Linked DNA regions of Schizosaccharomyces pombe. Changing the gene in region 3 together with the main gene of any one other region gives a genetic interaction. Each region holds a gene or a part of one and is shown on either strand. Other genes may lie near its edges. The genes, in order: mca1, dfg501 and pof7.

Region 1 (3,760 bases), on a different chromosome or scaffold from region 3:
TAGTTTTACGGGATAACGAGTCAAAAATAATACTTCACTAATATTGGTCAAGAGATTAGCAGCTTATATTTAATATAATGCTTAGACTATACTTTCGTTTGGATTGTATACATAATTCAATGTATCTGAAAATATGTTGGATTGAATTAATGCGTCGTTTATAGACTATATTGCCGATATTTAGGGACGAAGTAAAACTCATTACTAGAAAAAGTCAAACTGTAAAATATAAACAAACATCAATTTTAATTTCTTTTAAATAAGATAAATCTCAGCTTCCACTTTTTTTACTGTACACGTTAAAAAAAAAATCAACCATACGGATCAATCTCAGCTATTTTACTATGCCGGCGTTTGAGCAACAATGGTAGTTATTTTGCTTCTTTTTAAAATATTTTACCTCCTTTGTTGTTGACTGTATCCATTTTGTGCATTGATTGTTTGATAAAATGGTATGTTTGGCATTACAGGAGCACCAGGTATGGTAGCAGCAGCAGGAGAAGGAGAAGCCATCACCATTCCTGGTGGTGGAGGGGGGACAAGTGGTGCACCTCCAGGGCCCATTGGAACATTCATCATTGGCATAGCAGGCATTCCAGGGAAATGCTGTGCAGCAGTGAAAGGAAGAACATTAGGTATTGACAAGGGAGGGACGGCAGTAGTTGCTCCCACTAGAGGAACATTCGGTACAGGAGGTATCGATGTAGCAGCAATTGTTGCTGGAGTATTAGCAGCAGATGTTGGAGCAGGAGTGGCGGGTGAAAATCCTGGAGGCAGAGTACTCTGAGGAGTAACGGCAACTTTATTCTTTTTAGCGGCTGCTGCTAGCTTTCTTTCCGCAATATCTCCGTGACGTTCACCCTTTCCTTCGCGTTTAAAGGCGTATGACACGGTAATTGGTTTATTCATTAAAAACTGATTATTCATGGCCTCAATGGCTGCATCAGCGGTTTCAAAAGAATCGTAGCTAACAAAACCATAACCTTTCGACCTTCCATTCTCGTCTCTTGCTACCTGAGGTGCCTTGACAAGTTGTCCCAAAGCAGAAAATGTATCGTACAATACGCGTTCATCAACAAGAGGATCCAAGTTGCCAACAAATAAATTTGCACCAATTAAGGTATTGACTCCTCTGTCCTGGCTAGCTCTATTGACCCTTATAGGCTTTCCAAACAACTTTACTTGATTCAGAATTTGACATGCATACTCAACATCTTGTTCGTGTAAGAATTCGCAGAAACCAAAGCCATTATGACTATTCCTTACTCTATCTCTTGGAATATGAATATTTACTGTATGAATTAGTATCGAAAGCCACAAATACAACCAACACTCGAATAATTACATACCAACTGGACCTGCCTGCAGGCATAACTCAAACAAAATAGAATCCGTTACTTTTTCATCAAGATTGCCAAGATATATAGTTGCATCCTGATTCCTGTCTTCTCGAATACTCATTAATAAATAAGTAAAAATAAGTTAAAGTGTCTATTATAGAAATTTATTAGAATAAATAGATAGACACGTTTGAAGACGCTGGTAGAAGATTCAAGAAATTGGTGCATAGTCTCGTTATTGACTTAATGACGAGCACCAAATAGCACAATAGAAAACTAAATTACAGTATTCATCGTTAAAATTTCAGTGTCCAGCGTTTTCCAAACACATTTATGGAGATTTTTAATACTAAATCTTCGTTTTTTTTTTATTATTTTATAATTTTACTCATGAGATTGAATTATATTCAAGTTGAAGGTACAGTTGTGAATGGTAGACTGACGAAATATTTTTTATAGCAACCTATCTCTTTATACAGCCCTAATTTCCTTACATCCATCGTACACTAGTACATTTAATAGGTTCATTTATTAACTTTTTGTAAAAACGATGTTTGGCCATGTATATTTATTTTTGCTGCTGTAGTTTTGAACACAACTGAGGGCTTATTTATGTTACCCTAGATGGGCTTTTTACTCCCATGTGGTCTTTGTAACCTTCTTATGATCTTCACCCTTCAGGTGATACCACGACTTCAGTTGAATTTTATAGCTTTTCGAGTGTGTTTTTAATCAAAATATTTCTGTGATGTTGGTGTTTTGAAAAAGCGTACTTGTGTAGTCCTAGATGCCCCTTTTTTCTTTCACTTAAGTCTATTATTGTTTATGTTTAATTTTCTACTTGCAAACTTTTCGAAAGGACTGTTCGTAGCCTTTACGTTTATTGCTTATTTATTTTTTCTGATTTAAGCTCGTGAGCTTTTTCTAACAGACGTACGATCAGACAATTGGCACGTCTGCTTTTCTTTTCTTTTCTTTTTTAAGACCTGTCTACTCAACGCAGGATTTCTTCGATTATCTAGGTTTTTAAACGGTTTAAAAGGACACAGAATATTTTATTACTTCATTTTAGTATTTTATTTTCGACATGATTGCTGCTGTCGAAAAAGATGCTGTGCCTCGAAAAAGGCGAGTAATCAGTCAAGTATCTCAGGCATGCATTCGGTGTAGGCAGAAAAAAATAAAGTGTTCTGGTGAAAAGCCATCATGTCAAGCTTGCAGTAACAACAAAGTTGAATGCATTTGGCCTGATCGACCGAATATGCGAGGCAAAAAGCCATCTTCCGCTGCCAGAACCTTGAGTCCTCTTACTGGTATAGTGCAACCGTATCTGGGCTCTCATCCTTTTTCTCCTACGATCCTCTCTCCATCATCTCCTAACATGGATTTTACTTACTCTATTAATAGCTTTGGTGACTATCAGAAGCAGTTAAGGCTACCAACCAGTAGAAAGTTATTACAGCTTTGGGACATATTTCTTAAAACTTCATATACCGAACTTTTTGGGATATTTAATAAGGCCCAAATTACGTCTCAAATTGCAAGTGATACTGCTCCGCCAGTCCTCGTACTTTGTATATGTGCTCACGCTGCTCGTTTCAGTCAAGAGGAAGTCAATAGATTTAAATCTTCAACTGCAGCATCTGATTACTACGCAAACCAAGCCTTTTCACTGCTTCCTTGTCGTTTCCAGGATATTTCACTGACTAATATCACTTGCCTGCTCTTGCTTTGCTTAATTGAGTTGGGCTCTTGTAGAGGCGCTAAAGCCTGGCTTTTACTGGGTATGGCTCTCCGTATGGTCGATTCTTTAGATCTTGGTAACGAAATAAATGATAATCCTCTTACGATGGGATCCAACACTGTTTCATGGACTGAAGCCGAGCAGAAAAGAAGGGTTTATTGGGCTTGTTTTTTTGTCGAACGTTTGCTAAGTACAGGTTACATGGCACCTTCAAAATTGCGCTCACTTTCTTTATCTCTTCAAAAGACTAGTATACAATTACCTTGTCCGGAACCTAATTTTTTATTTAATCAGCCAATTCTTACTGAGTTATTTGATGGATCTTTACCGGAAAACACTCAGTCAGACACCACTTCAATGGCCCCATACCAAAGAAGTTTACAACTGGAGTTTATGACGGGTTCCCTAATCCGCTTGTCAAATTTGTGGAGTGAGATCTCAAGATGGGCTCTATGTGGTGGATACACGAAAGATATCACACCCCCTTGGCTAAATCAGTCTCAATTCCATCGTAGCTTTGAGCTTTTAAAAGCCTGGCATGAAAATTTACCTCCAAGAGCAGTTTGGTCATACACTAACTATTCGGCGTATAGTTCTCCCGGAGAATCGGCTGGTGCCTGTTACACTTTTATGCATTTGCTATATCACACTACCTTGACCTATCTTCTGAGAAACG
Region 2 (3,760 bases), on a different chromosome or scaffold from region 3:
CATTTGACTTTGATGTAACTTCAGATGGTAAGTCTGCCAGTTGTCTCGCACCCAATTTGAATATATCTTATTAACCATATTTAAGATTCCATAAATAGTGCCTTGACTACCGTCACTGACGGAATGCTCAATTATTATCAAAGCACTTCTCATACATTTACAGCTTACTGGTGGATGACAGGAGCTGGCCTTAATTCAATGACAGACACTTATGCTGCAACTGGAAATACAACGCATCTTGACATGCTAATTAGTGCCCTTGTAGCGAATAAAGGCGACAATAACGATTATGCTCCTAATAGCGAAAAATTTGATTTGGGCAATGACGACCAAGGTATTTGGGGCCTCAGTGCTATGTCAGCTGCAGAAGTTAACATGACTACTGGTGATAGTTCTGCCTCTTTTACGGAATTGGCTCAAGCCGTGTTTAATGAAATTATGTCTAGGTGGGATACTAGTTCATGTGGTGGTGGTGTCCGCTGGCAAATATATTCTTTCAATAACGGTTATTCTTATAAGAACTCCATTAGTAATGGAATTCTTTTTCAGCTCGCTGCTCGTCTTGCACGTTATACTAACAACGATACCTATGTTGATCTTGCGCAAAAGGTTTGGGACTGGTCTACAACTGTGGGTTTTGTTGATTTAGACGATTATACTGTATATGACGGTGCTTCAGTAACTTCAAATTGTAGTTCTATTACGAATGAACAATGGAGTTACAATGTAGGTGTCTACCTTGCTGGCACTGCATTCTTATATAACTATACGAATGGCAGTTCTGTGTGGCAAACCCATATGGAAGGTTTAATGAATAAGGCACTTGATTATTATTTTACTTCTGACAAAATTATTTATGAACCTTCTTGTGAGCCAACTGAATCTTGCAATTCAGACCAGACTGCTTTTAAGGGAATGCTAGCTCGATTTCTTGGTTATACGATGCAGTTAGCTCCTTATACCGTTGAAACTATTCTGCCCTATATACAAAGCAGTGCAGAAGCTGCCGCCCTTGCTTGTAGTGGGGGATCTGATGGTGTCACTTGTGGTTACATGTGGTATTGGAATAACGGTACTTGGGACGATCATTATGGCCTTGGCGAGCAAATATCAGCTGTTGAAACTTTCCAAGCGCTTCTTGCACAACAAAGTGCTACAATTTTAACTTTAGATACCGGTGCATCTTCTGAATCCAATCCAGATGCAGGAACGGACGATGGTGATACCGTTACGATTACTCCAGCAACAAAGAGCGATAAAGGCTGGGCCGGATTTCTCACTTTTGCTTTTTCATTTGTTTTCCTTTTGTTTTCTATCTGGCTTTATTTTTGAGAATTTATTTGACGATAAGTTTAATATACAGCCGCATTTGCATTTTTATACCAAACCATTCCAAATTACTTTTGGTTAGAGGCAAACTTTGGTTTTTCTTCTTATTTTATTATTTATTTCTGTTGATTTAAGGTATTTACGATATTTAACTTTCTTTGAGCATCGTTTACTGAATTATGCCATGGTGGTTAGTACCACTTTATTTGATTGAAGGTTTTGACGTTGCAAAAAGCATCTTAAAAGTTTTGTTTAATATCCCATTGATCGCCTTTCCATCATTTGCATTTGGCAACTCTATTGGTCTGTGACTTGCTATTTCAACTTACATATTCATTTCATCTAATTTATAAGAGATCTTTGCATTCGTTTTTATTTGTCAATTTTGCATATTGTTACACTTTATTTCTTTGAATGTTATTAACATCTTTATGTTTGATACATTCCCCTATAGTCATTTAAGCTTTCTTTTTTTTTTAATCGAAAATTTTGTGCTTTAAATTTTTTTAGTCATATATTAACTCAAAATACAAAAGAAACGCTCTAAGTTATTTCTTATCACATAATATGTTTTAAAGAGTAAGATTTAACTATTATATATGTTAAAATGATCTACTTCGTATAGTATCGAATGCTCGGACAACTTTCACATGCATCGGAGCTCGACACTGTGGTACACCGTACTACTTTTGTGTCATCGTTCCTTCCGACAGCACATCACGATTTTTCACAAGCCATAAGTTAGAACTGTTCTGATTCATTCAAATCTTTAAAAATATTAAACAATCTTTTGTTGGCATACTGATTCGAAAATTTTCCATATTTTAATTTCAAAATTGGGAGAGTAGACGGACTTTGGTAACCCGTCCAGAACATTTGATATTCATCAAATACTTGGGTTTATTTCATGGTTTATTGTTTATTCAATTGGTTATTTTGTGGTATTAATTAAACTAATTATAATTTTGAATCTCCTCCTTCCCTCAAAGAAATTTACTTTGAAAATTTCTCTTCTTATCTACCATCCTCTTCTAATTAATACCTTTAATCTAATTAAACCGTAAAAATGAATATCTATAGTGTGGGCTTGTTTTATTTTTTTCTCGTTTTCATCGGAGCACAAGCTATGGATTTGGATATAACAGATTATCAATCTATTGATAATACCGTCAATATTATGATGAAAGACTTGATGAACTATTGGAATGCAAGCAGCCAGGCATTTGTTGCTTCATACTGGTGGGTTACTGGTGCTACTATGGGCGCTCTGCTTTATAACTATGAACTTTTTAATAATGACACATATGTCGATCTTATTTCTTCTTCTTTACTTTATAATGCTGGTAGCGGATTTGACTATCAGCCCTCGTTTGAATACTTTAATCTCGGAAATGATGATCAAGGCATGTGGGCTGCCGCTGCAATGGATGCAGCAGAGGCTAACTTTAGTCCCCCAAATTCAACAGAACATTCATGGTTGGAGTTAACGCAAGCGGCGTTTAATCGTATGTCCGGACGTTGGGATTCAAGCACGTGTGGTGGTGGTTTACGTTGGCAAGCTTTTGCTTGGTTGAATGGATATAGCTATAAAGCTTCAGTTAGTAATGCATTGCTCTTTCAACTAAGCTCTAGACTTGCTCGTTTTACAAACGAAAGTGTCTACTCGGACTGGGCTAACAAGATATGGGATTGGACCACCGACGTTGGATTTGTCAATACCACAACTTATGCTGTGTATGATGGCGCCGATACTTCGACGAATTGTACAACACTGGATCCATCTCAATGGTCTTACAACATAGGTATCTTTATGGTTGGCGCTGCATATATGTATAACTACACTGGAGAAACAGTATGGCGTGAACGGCTTGATGGCCTTATTAGCCATGCTACGTCTTACTTCTTTACTGATGATATAGCTTGGGACCCCCAATGTGAATACTTCGACGACTGTAATTCCGACCAAACTGCATTCAAGGGTATTTTTATGCAAAGTTTTGGAAATACCATTCGACTGGCTCCTTATACTTATGATACACTGTATCCACTAATTCAGACTAGTGCTGCTGCTGCTGCTAAGCAATGTTGTGGTGGTTACAGTGGTACTAGTTGCGGTATTTATTGGTTCTGGAACAATGGGACGTGGGATGATAATTATGGCGTTCAAGAGCAGTTTTCTGCTTTACAAGCCGTTCAGATGTTAATGATTGAATATGCTCCTGAAATAGCAACCCTTGCTAGCTCGACCGACAATCGATCTAACAGTACATATGCTTCTAACGTTGTGATTAACGATACCAATACAACGACAACAATAGTAGTTAAAGAAAAAGATCGTGGAGGAGCAGGATTTTTAACTTTCCTCTCTGCCATTTTCATTCTAGGAGCTTCAATATGGGCCCTTGTTGAGGACGAGGAGGGAAAGATACCG
Region 3 (3,760 bases):
GGTGTTAAATTTACAAGAAAAACTGTCAAGCTATTTTCCCAGTTTTACAATTCTGACATTATAGTTGCTAGTCCTTTGGGACTTCGTCTTGCTATTGGTAACAAGGGAGATAAAAAGCGAGACCTCGATTATTTGAGTTCGATTGAAATAGCAATGGTTGACCAAGCTCATGCTCTCGTGATGCAAAACTGGGAACATATTGAATGCATTTTTGATGAACTTAATGGTTTGCCTAAAGAAGCTCACGGTTGTGATTTCAGTCGTGTTCGTCCTTGGTATCTTGATCAGCAAGCCAGATATATGCGCCAAACTATACTATTTTCTCAATATAACAATCTAGATATAAATTCTTTCTTTTCTCACTACATGTCAAATATTGCTGGTAAGGTTAAATTTCGCTCGCTTCTTCACGGTGTTTTAAACCGCTTGGGGTACAAAGTGACTCAAACTTTTGTTCGCATTTCTGTCGATTCTATTATTAAAGTTCCAGATGCCCGCTTTTCCTATTTTACTGGTTCTATACTAGTACAACTAAAGAAGTATTCCCAGAGTGGTATTTTAGTTTATATACCTTCATATTTTGATTTTGTTCGTGTGAGAAATTACATGGATGAGGAGGGAATTAACTATTCTGCCATATCAGAATATTCGAGTGTATCCGATATGACTAGAGCCCGCAATCTTTTTTATCAAGGTAGAACCAATATAATGCTATATACTGAGCGCGCTCACCATTTCCGTCGATTTGACTTTAGGGGTGTAAAAGCTGTTGTGATGTATGGTCCCCCAACGAATCCTCAGTTTTATGTTGAACTTGTTAGAATGCCGATGAGAACCATCTCTGAAGGAAACCTTGACAGTGATGCAGCAAAGTGTAGAATTATGTATACAAAGTTTGATTCTATTTGCCTGGAAGGCATAGTGGGATATCAGCGTGTATCAAACATGTGTCATGGTAAACATGAAGTTTTTGAATTTCTTTAAAAGAATACGAAAAAAATTTTTTTAAAAAGGAATTAGGGGTCATTTGGATTTTTGGATGAAAGAGCTACAAAATTACTACTTTAAAACAATAGAATAGCTTAAAATGTACTTTATTTGGACCATTCCGCTTTGCTTTATTTATTGAGAGCGAATGAGTAAATAGCTACTTGAATGATTTAACTTGACAGTGCTTTTTAAATGTTTTCAATATATAATTTTTTTTATACTTATTTCAAGATTCATATAGCGATTGGAAGGCATCGTACATTATCAATGAGTTTGGTTTCGACTGTGTTCCCGAAACCATATCTAAATCTCAATTGCTTTTGACGAAGATATGCTGAGAATTATCCGAAAGCAAAGCGGGATATGTATCTACTCGTTTATTAACAATAAAAATCGCTATCATATTCACCATAAATAAATGCAGTAATGCTACATGAAGCTGGTAATTATTACAATAATTCATCAAATCGAAATGTTTTCTATATCGCTAAAATCCTAATATCCACTTAGCTTATTGCCAAGTAACTTTTGATTTGAACAAGTTTTAAGTTTATGTAATGGTTTCGCAAGTCCTAACGCCTTGTTAGAAGTGATAGAATCGAAGACACCTACAAATATGCCCATAGCCAAATAGCATCTCAAACATGTTACAATATTTATCTAGTCCATTTTTTAAACAGTAAAGAAGCGACGATTGACTCAATTTAATCTTCTTCTTCTTGTTATCAAACCGCCACAACTTGATATTAAACGCAACGGCTAACTACCCATGAACTAAACCATATTGTTACCAAAGTAAGGTCTTGTGAAAGGATGCTTTTAATCCTTAAATCCTTGTTAATACTTTGCTAGGAATTGTATGAAAAGTAAAAAACATAAAAGTCATTAGTTAGGTTCAGCACTATCTTAACCTCTTAATATTCGTGTTGAATTCTTTTTTTTTTTTTCTATTTTGAGAGAAATAAGTAAGAAAATATTTTCTTTTTCAATTATACATCTACTTTCGATTGCTCGTCTGAGAAATAAAATAAGTGATGAGTACAGTAGAGGATCAACTTTCTCTTGAACTTGAAACAGTGAACAAGGATATACTGTTGAAAAAAGCACTTTTACATTACAAAGATGCTATAAAATCTGAAAGAGAAGGAAATTTAGGTGAATCTCTTAATAAATATCGATTAGCTCATAAAGTCCATGAAGATGTGGAATCTATCTATCGGCGTTTGGAGCGTTTGCAACTGTGTAAAAGAAATGAAGAGGAGGAAATGTTAAATTCAGATGCATCAGAAGCTATGCTCACTGTTTCCTCAGTCCCATCTCCAACGTTAACGGAAAATGAGTCTGTAAATGAGTCGGTCGTTCCCAATATACTGAAGCTTCCCGACGAGGTTTTGCTAGTTATCCTAGAGAATTGCATTAGGGACCTTCATGATTTAAGATATCTCTCTTCAATTGCACTAACTTGTAAGCATTTTGCGAAGGCATTACGAGCAGATTCTCTATATAGATCGTTTTGTTATTGCAGTTGTGAACAAAAAGAATGGCAACAGTCTATTAAGTCAATAGAGGAAGAACTCGTGGAAAAATACCAGCAAAGCTGGAAGACTTTGTTCCTTAAAAAGCCTCGATCTCGTTTTGACGGATGCTACATATCCGTTTGTCGATACTTTCGACCTGGAACTAGTGACACGAGCTGGAACCAACCCATACATTTGATCACATACTACCGGTATTTACGACTTTATCCTAATTCAACATGTATCGTTTATCAAAGCAGTAATGAACCAAATGATGTTGTTCGCAACTTCAGTGTGCAAAACACCAGTCTTTTTTCTCCTATGTCGAGTTCTCCTATGTTTAGTAATGGAAACGTAGCACTCACTGGCTCCTGGTCAATGACTCCTTCTGGAGAAATGCTAATTGTGTATCCCGCAAGTCAAACTTATACATACGTTCAAAAACTTCAAGTTCGTGGAATAAGGCTTAAGTGGATTTCTTTCTACTCCATCCATAATTATACCTCATTCACGAACGAAATGCCACTCACTCACAATCGTGACTATGTTTTCTCCAGAGTATATAGCTATACTGCTGACTCAGAGTCACTAAAACGTGGCTAGTCTTACTTTTTGGAATACTAATTTAGAAACCGCGGAAATGATTAATTATCTATTATAGGTCGCATCGTGAGAGGATTTAAAGAAATTATTTTTTATTAATATTAATGCCATCATTATTCTTCGCATGGAAATATATCATTAACATACATTTACAAATGAACAACAGATGCTTAACAAATTTTTGGAAGTACAAAGTTATAAACAATCCTAAGTCCAAGGAAACATGCGTGATACTTGAGGAGAAAAGAGTAAATAGAATGCACAAAACTTAAAAAATAAAAGAGGAAAACCCACGAAATGGAATATTAAACGTATCAGTTTCTTGAAGTCCAGATCGAATATTCATAAAGAAAACCATAAAACCATTCGTAATCATGTTCGTAAAAAATCCCTGCTTTTTTACCACAAATAAATAAACTAAAGGCAACATAAAAAATCGCCATATCGAAGCATTGAATGACAAAAGTAAAACATGGAGAAATATCGGAGAGCAATAATTCAACATGAAGATTCCGTTTTAAAGTTAACAAACGGATTTATTTTGGATAATAAAATTAAAGTAAATTAGTTTCGTAAAGAGAAAAAGAGAAAGGATTAACGAAACTGTAGAAAATCGCTCATTTCTATTCAAAGCTAAACCATTTCCTCTG

What was found.
Region 1: mutations in pof7 (region 3) and mca1 together harm fitness more than expected from each alone (negative genetic interaction), as found in Schizosaccharomyces pombe (one large-scale study listed by BioGRID).
Region 2: mutations in pof7 (region 3) and dfg501 together harm fitness less than expected from each alone (positive genetic interaction), as found in Schizosaccharomyces pombe (one large-scale study listed by BioGRID).

Annotation. Positions count from the first base shown.
Region 1 is NC_003424.3:2,987,097-2,990,856, reverse strand, and holds the start of mca1 (transcription factor), read left to right. Parts: upstream 1-2,003; 5' UTR 2,004-2,427; coding exon 2,428-3,760. Other genes in the region: U2 snRNP-associated RNA-binding protein Sap49, read right to left, coding at 397-1,292, 1,350-1,461.
Region 2 is NC_003423.3:182,861-186,620, reverse strand, and holds the start of dfg501 (mannan endo-1,6-alpha-mannosidase), read left to right. Parts: upstream 1-2,035; 5' UTR 2,036-2,395; coding exon 2,396-3,760. Other genes in the region: dfg502 (mannan endo-1,6-alpha-mannosidase), read left to right, coding at 1-27, 86-1,332.
Region 3 is NC_003421.2:2,371,344-2,375,103, reverse strand, and holds pof7 (F-box protein Pof7), read left to right. Parts: upstream 1-1,766; 5' UTR 1,767-2,024; coding exon 2,025-3,110; 3' UTR 3,111-3,590; downstream 3,591-3,760. Other genes in the region: U3 associated protein Utp25, read left to right, coding at 1-984; SPOM_SPCC70.10 (uncharacterized protein), read right to left, coding at 3,744-3,760.